Linked DNA regions of Xenopus tropicalis. The protein of the gene in region 1 interacts with the protein of each later gene in a biochemical or structural test. Links are inferred from orthologs where the notes say so. Each region holds a gene or a part of one and is shown in the gene's direction. Other genes may lie near its edges.

What was found.
Region 2: the proteins of snap23 (region 1) and stx2 form a complex in vitro, tested with the Homo sapiens proteins (2 studies listed by BioGRID). The link is inferred for Xenopus tropicalis from reciprocal best matches to the Homo sapiens genes SNAP23 and STX2.

Annotation. Positions count from the first base shown.
Region 1 is NC_030684.2:105,570,407-105,574,227, reverse strand, and holds part of snap23 (synaptosomal-associated protein 23), read left to right. Parts: intron 1-18; coding exon 19-67; intron 68-1,205; coding exon 1,206-1,323; intron 1,324-3,821. UniProt on the Homo sapiens protein: Essential component of the high affinity receptor for the general membrane fusion machinery and an important regulator of transport vesicle docking and fusion.
Region 2 is NC_030677.2:157,777,134-157,781,530, forward strand, and holds the start of stx2 (syntaxin-2), read left to right. Parts: upstream 1-1,337; 5' UTR 1,338-1,462; coding exon 1,463-1,492; intron 1,493-4,397.

The DNA of each region.
Region 1 (3,821 bases):
GCCTCTCTTTCATTCTAGAGTCAGGATACTGGAATCAAAACTATCACTATGCTGGATGAACAAGGCGGTGAGCTAAATGCATTAACACATGAAACACTTTTATTTGCATGTTTCTCCACATGATAAAACTTCTCTGATGAAATACACATCCTTCTAGACCCCTCCACAGTGGTATTGTAATTTATTAGTTGCAGTGTTTAATGGGTTGCAATACTAAAGCAAGTAGAGAAAAAAGATATAAAATGCCCATTAGGATTATTTGCCTGGTTACCTATGAAACCAAGAAAACAGGAAAGAGATTGCATAGTTTTAAAATGGAATTAATAGTCTCCTTCGCGAGGCAACTTCGGCGATTTGCACGAAATTGCACCGCCGCGTGTGCCATCCCACCGGCGACTAACATTTTCGCCGGTGGGATGGCAGGGGAAGGCAACTCGGGGAGATTAGTCGCCCGCAAACAGGGAGTTTTGTCGCGGGCGACTAATCTCCCCGTGTGCCAGAGCCCTAAAAGGTTAGATTTCATATAAGCAGAAAAGGGAAGCTAACTCCCTCACAATATATTAATACCAAGGCACATTGTCAAATTAGAGATCACTGATATACTTATCTGTAAGAACAGGCGATTGAGATAGCTCTGTTGGTAACTGGTGACTGACATGTGGGAGGAAAGTTTTACTTTTAAACTTGAAATTAAAACCCACACTTCTTGCGCTGCAAGAGAGAAGAATTTGGTTGGGGCATGACTAGAGGGTTTCAGTCTTTGTTAAAATGCTTTAAGTCCCCTGTCAGCATTTCTCTGTGAGTGCACCACGGCTGCTCATTAATAAATGCTTCAAAATCAAATTTACACCCACTTGTTGGGGTGTAACTCTAATATACATTGACTGGAAATGCACTCCAACTGGTTAGAAATGCATCTCTTAATAGTTAAAGTGAATTGTGCTTCAGAATGCCTCATAACACATTTCTGGAGTCCACTGAACCAGCGGTTAAGCAGTATGGGCCCTCATCTTGTTTTGGTTGCAGTTGACATGGATAGTAGTCTGCCACTGCAAATGGGGTAATAAAATTATCTGATTCATTAAAGACCAGCATCTTGGGGTTTTTTGTTTTTTTTTTAAAAAAAAAAAGATATGCATGTGTGTATTGTTCTTCTTCAGAAAATGTAATAATGTTCTCTTTGTGTGCTGACTTTTTTCCTTTAGAACAACTAAATCGCATTGAGGAAGGAATGGATCAGATCAACAAGGACATGCGTGAGGCGGAAAAGAACCTAACAGAACTGAATAAATGCTGTGGCTTGTGTGTTTGTCCTGGCAAAAGGTTAGAGAACCATGCTTCATTAAGGAAAGAGCATATTTTACAGACTTCATAGGATTGCCGATTCTTAATTAATTAGGAACCTTTTGTAGACCTTGACTTTTGGTCTTCAGTGCATAGAGCTGTGTAATGGATTTCTAGAAAACTTTAGAAAGAGGTGGAAAATTCTAGTTGCAGGCTTTAGTTGAGGCTTACTTTTGAGATTGTAGAATAGTCAGGGGTACTGTATTGCTGGACGAGATGTTGGAAATTACACAGGCAGGTTACAGGTCCTAAACAGCCAAATCTCCTATAAACTATAGCAGACGAATGCGATAGCCAAAAGGGCACCATTGCCCCTTTGTAGCTATTGAAGCAGTAGTATGAAGCCTATATTAATATTGACATTGTCATACACCTATTTACACAGTTATGTAAACTATTATTAGTTCTGTCTATCTTCCTGGTTGATATTTACAGTGTCATACCATTGCTGTTCCATTACTTGGTACCCCTCCCTATGTGATAACGAGGGGAAGGGGTGGAAGGGATCAGCACACACAGCATGGGGAGCAGGCACTACACAGCTGCTAGATTACTAAAGTACGCTTTGGTAATTAGGGCACATGGAAAAACATTTTTAAAAGGATTTCACCTTTTGATGATCCTATTCTAAGAAACTTTTCACATGTTTTCTATTTCATTTTTTATGGTTTTCGGCCCGTATTAGCTTTTTTTTCTATTTTGCCATTTTCAGGACTGCTGCTAAAATTGCATCTGATTGTCATTTACTGGATCTGTTCAAGACATATACTATATATTGTGACCAGGTCTGTCCTGGGACAGGACAGGTCTGTCCCAGGCCTAATTGTGCCTTCCATAAGGCCTAGTTAGCCCATGGCTGTTAAAACTCCAAGTTCATTTTGGTCACAAGTGAAAGCAGAAATAGTTCTAAAACCACAAAAACCACAGTTGCATATTGCCTTAGAATAACAACGTCAACAACATACTATGTTCATTTAATATGAACTGACCCTTCTTTGAAGTTGTATCTAGAGATTCTCCTCTAGAGACTGGAATTGCTCACAAAAATAAGCATGAAGCTCATGATCCTTGGGCTCCCCTGCCTCTGAAGTATTAATTTGGAGGATGCTGGTGCAGTGTCAGACTGGCCTGGCAGGGTACTGTGACTTTTCCTGGTGGGCCCTTTGCCTTTTATGGAGCACATTAACTCTTTTTTAGTTTTTACATGTTCTTCTTATGTTTTGTTTATTCCCAGCAGTGAGACTGCTAGGAAAGACTTAGTTAAGGAGTCTGTGGTGGTGTAAGGGGGAAAAAAATAGAATAGTGGAGGGCACTCTGGGCTAAGGTACACTTGCCCTTTAAAAACAATCCACAAAAAAAAAAAAATATATGTATATACAAAAATCCAGGTGTTAGGGTTTCAAAAATCCCCCCCTAAGAGGATTATTTGAGGGTTTTGGTGGTGTAAGGGAAAAGACAGAGGCCAAATTTATTGCCAATTTTCCAGGAGGAAAATCCAGTGAGGCTGTTAAAGGGGATATATACCATACATTTTTGCAATGCACTAAACCATGTAAAATAGAAGGAAGTGCTTTTATTTTAATACCTTTGGGTTCAGATATGTCCATAACTGCTTGAAAACTGTGCTCTACCCAGACCTTATGCCAGCTTCCGGTTTAGACTCTTCAGTATATGGCTCAGGGCCACTGGCCCTCATAGACTTCAATGACACAACCTCACCTACTTAAAGTGAAGTGAATATTCATAGAGTGGGCAGGGCTTAGCAATGTCACAGCAGTCTGTTCCTACAAGCAGAGAGACACAGAAGGAGGGAGGGGTTTTCCCTGCTGCTGCTTAGTTAAGCCTGTCAGTCAGTGCTGTGACCACTTCCTGTGGGAGACTGAAGTGAGTTTTAGGAGGTAAAATGCTTTCAAAACATCTTTCTTTCTGCATCATTTCACATTTTGAGGGAGGATGAATATTATAACTGAATATGAACTTCATATAAAATGTCTCCTTTAATTATATAAAGCTGGCATGGCAGTTTCTCAGAATTTGAATTTGGTAGAGCAAGAGCTAATAGACTCCTCATACAACCATATAGTCTTAGCTGTGAACTGCACAGAGATAGAGATGTTCCGCCGGGGCTCTGTGCTGCCCTCTGCAGTCTGTCTCTATCCCATTATTGCTTTGTGGCCTGACACGGCTTGTACAGCAATACTGCAACAAACAGGAGAGCACAGCTGCCCCACATAGAATTAGTTCTGAATGTGTCTTTTTGAAAGTAGCCACTCTAGTTGCTGTGATATGCCCATAATTAAAATGTATCCTATAGACTTTAGGGCACTGGCATCTAGTGGCCAAAAACAGTGCCTTCTGGTCAAAACTATATCCGTTACATTTGAACAATGAACTTCTCAAACATGGGGATACCAGGGTTTTTTCTCAGTAAGAAGTAAAGGTTTTAGGGCTCTGGCTGTTAGGCCCTTGATTTCTGT
Region 2 (4,397 bases), on another chromosome or scaffold:
GGGGACAGGCAGACTAGGGGGGACAGGAAAACAGCAGAGGGCACAGGCAGTAGTACCAGCCCCAACAAACATCCCATTTGCCACACTCACCCTCTCAGGGCTGCCCCACCCAACCTCCCAGGGCAGGCAGAGTATGGGGGGCACAGGCAGAGAGCAGAGTAGGGCAGAGGGCACAGTCAGGGAGCAGAGGGCAGGCAGAGTAGGGGGGTGCAGGCAGAGTAGGGCACCTAGTAGTAGAGCCTAGAGTCACCTAGCAGTCACAGGCAGACACAGGGGCACAGGCAGGGAGCAGAGGGCAGGCAGACTAGGGGGGACAGGCAGGGAGTAGAGGGCAGGCAAAGTAGGAGTACACAGGGAGAAGTGGGCAGGCAGAGTAGGGCACCTAGTAGTAGAGCCTAGAGTCACAGGTAGACACAGGGGCACAGGCAGGGAGCAGAGGGCAGGCAGACTAGGGGGGACAGGCAGGGAGTAGAGGGCAGGCAAAGTAGGGGTACACAGGGAGAAGTGGGCAGGCAGAGAAGGCCACCTAGTAGTAGAGCCTAGAGTCACCCTAGTAGTAACACCAGCCCCACCAAAAATCACATTTGCCGCACTCACCCTCTCAGGGCTGCCCTACCCAATACCCCACCAAACTTCCCAGGGCAGGCAGTGTAGGGGCACACAGGGAGAAGAGGGCAGGCAGAGTAGGGCACACAGGCAGAGAGCAGACAACAGAGTAGGGCAGGGAGCAAAAGGGGCAGAGTAGGGGGCGCAGGCTGAGTAGGGGAACACACAGGGAACAGAGTGCAGGCAGAGAAGGGCACCTAGTACAGCCTAGAAGTCACCCCTGCCCTACCAAACCTCCCAGGGCCACTCCACCAAAAGTCACATTTGCCACTCACCCTCTCAGGGCTGCCCCACCCAATACCCCACTAACCCCCCCAGGGCAGGCAGTGTAGGGAGCAAAAGGCATGCAGAGAAGGGCACCTAGTAGTACAGCCTAGAGCCACATCTGCCCGACCAAACCTCCCAGGGCCACCCCACCAAAAGTCGCATTTGCAACACTCACCCTCTCAAGATGCCCCACTAACAAGACACGAGAGACTTCCCAGAGCTCTGTATCTCTCACTCACAGGGTACCCCACCGTCGTCTCGACAACGCACCAAAGACTTCTGCATCTGTGACTCAGGATCTCCGCACTTCAAAAAGTCGCGCCTTTAGGTGGAACTTATATACACCATGTACACCACGTGACGATGACGCAGTGTATCACGTGACAAGGACGTCACTTGGATACGCCCATACACCACGTGATAACGTGAAGATGACGGCTGCGGAACGTGCCAATGATGTCACTGGGGTACAAATAACCACTAGGAACTAGCGGCTACTGTGGCACCAAGCAGAGAAGGAGGTGGTGGTTGCAAACTCAACGGGAAGCTGCTACCTGAGACGTTGGGGGGGCGAGCTGCACTTACGGGCATGAAGGACCGGCTGACAGAGTTGTCAGCGGTGAGTGAAATCGATTATTTCCAAGCTAACTGAGTAACGGTCCTTAGGACTGAGGGATGTTCCAATTGACTGTAGGCTGGAAATGGATGCGTCCAACTGCATCTTCCTGCAGCTGTTCAGTTGTTTTTATGAGATCATTCATACAAATTCAGGCTAACATATTAAAGGGGCTTAGCCGCTGTATTTTTTCTGTTAAAAGGAACGTGATTCTAAGTAACTTTCCAAAGTTCATCAATAAAAACAATTGTAATGGTTTTAGAGAAATTAAGGTGTCTGTTTATATTCTTGGCACTAGTTGCTTTGGCTCCTGAAACAATGTAGGAGACGCTAGTTGGAGGAAAACTGACACATTTGGTTAAGAGTCAGAACCAGAGAAGAACTAGAGAGAAACACTGTTTTCAATAGTATTTACATGTACAAACTTATAAATAATGTATATTGGAATGTTGCTTAGGATAACTTTATTCATTCTACTCTTGCAACTTAATTTGGTGCAAGTTCATTAGCTGTTGCGGGAAGAAGCATTATTTGATATTAAAAATATATATATATGATACCTCTTTGTAAGAAAGACATACTTTGTAAAGTAACTTTAGACTTTGCTATTATGGTATGTAGCTTTGTTTTATCTCGGTGCCCTTCTGAACTGTGTGACTGCAAGGTTCTGATAGCGACCTGGAGTGCTTTAATTGCTGCAACAAGTAGATTGGGGTGCTCCAGTGTAAATGGATGAGAAAGTGAGACTACAGAGTACCCTGCATGGCTTTTGTTAACAGTATGGAGTCCCACCAAAACTGATATGATACTTGGGTCCAGCTTTCATACCTCCTTGGGCAAGTCGGCAAACCTAAATGTTTTAGGGGAAAGTCACACATTGCATAGGATCTGCTTCTCTCCACTGGTGTTTGTAGAATAATAATTTGTGTGCAGCTTTAAAACTAATATCTAGTTGCCAGGGTCAGTAAGAGACCGATAGGCTGGGAACAGGTAGAATAGGCAGGGTTCGCCTGTGTTTGTAGCTATGCTTCAGCCTGATGGGTGGATGATATCTGACACACAAGCCTGGGAACGCAACAGACAGTGTCTCCTTAATGAGTATTGCTGAAGAAACACTGTCTGCTAAGTGCTTGGGGCCTTTAGTAATTTCAATGATAATGTCAAATGAGACTCACCCTCTGTGATACTTCGTCTGTATTATCAACCACCATTAGCTACCAATGACTTTCTACCTAATAAAGTTTTTTTTCAGCAGAGCTATATATATATCTCAAAAGTCCACACTGTGTCACTGTCACTCATGTTACACAGGCCATAAATAATTGGAAATGTGATTAAACATATACATAAATAATATTAACTATTCTGAGTCCACTTTAATAAGTACTAGGATTGTTGATCTGCCTTTTTTTGGGGGGGGTTGGCAAGATAGAAAGGCAAATCATTCGTAAACACAAAAAAAAGGAAGGGAGGCAAAGCTGCATAATGTACAAGATAGTAACTATTTTGTAGACTTTTATCAATTATTACAGAATCTCTGTTCCTTGGACTTTAGCTAAAGTGTGCAGTAGAATGCTGAGTGGAATCTATTTAGGAAGATTGATTGTGCTGGGGTAGTTCTGGTCCTGGTCGAATAAGTCTGTCTCACAATGGTGCAAGTGACTGAACAAATGTTTGTTGAATGGTAAGAAAACTGAGTCTGTGTACTGTGACCTAAATCTGCTGCAACAAATTGGATGTTTTCTTTTTATATATATAATATACACATGTAGAGAACAAGCATCTTGACTTTATCTTGTTAGTGGCAAATGTTGCATTTTATTCTGGCAGCCATGGTGCATCAGATGGCAAAATTCCCATGCAGCAGATTAAGGCTAATGCCACATGGTGTTGGTTCTCAGTCCGTGGATCAGCCTTTTTCCTGTGCCTGCATTCAAATCCATTGCGTTGGCCCAGGTGGTGGAAGGCTGAGCAGATTTTGACCCTGATACGCGGCAGAATGCATTTCAGCGCCAAATCTGCTCTGTGTTCTCCGATGCAATGGCTCTGGGTTCAGGCACAGGGAAAGGCTGATATCATGGTCTGATTCACAACCTGGAGATAAACACCCCATGTGGTGTTTCAGTAATGATTTTCAATAAAGGGGTCATGTTTAATGTTAATAAACATTTAGTTTTAACTTATGCTATATATCTTTTTTTGATGAAAAAATGCATCAGCCCACTGAAAGAAAAAAAAATAAATGAAGGCATCGCTATGCCACAATCTTATTTGCCTTTCCCTGGTGCCCCTCTTCAGGTTTATTATACTCACACATGCGCATTTCAGTAAAATTTAACTCTACAACTAGTGAAAAAGGAGTTGCGCTTTTTTCCCTGATGAGTGGATTTTCTTCCCAAAATGAGCACTGGCCTGGGGAAAAATCTTGGCTAATTGGAAATTCCTTGTCCAAAATTAATTAAAAGGGGCAGTGTTAGCATTTTATATCCCATATGTATATCTCACTGTGTCAAAAAAGTCAACATGCTCTCGGATCTGAGTATTTTATTTGGAATTTGTTCAAATTGCCCGTTTTTGCACATTTTTTTCAGTTTATGCAAGATGGGATCTAGCTGCATTAATATAAATTTAGCTTAATGCACTGCACTAAAGAACAATGCCTGGCAGTGTGTGAAAAACATCATTTTGTTTTTTTTTCCATAGAAATCACTGACACGGGTTACCATATTTCTAGAATTTTTTTTGTTTACGCAAAAGGTTCTTTGTGAGACAGATATTTATGTGCAACTATTTTGTGTTTCAGCTTTGTTTCCTTGAGTTCCTTGCCTGTGGGGGTTGGGATGGTGTGCAATAAATCGATCACGTTTCAGTGCTACACACATCCTGTAGGATTCCTCTCTGGGAGGTA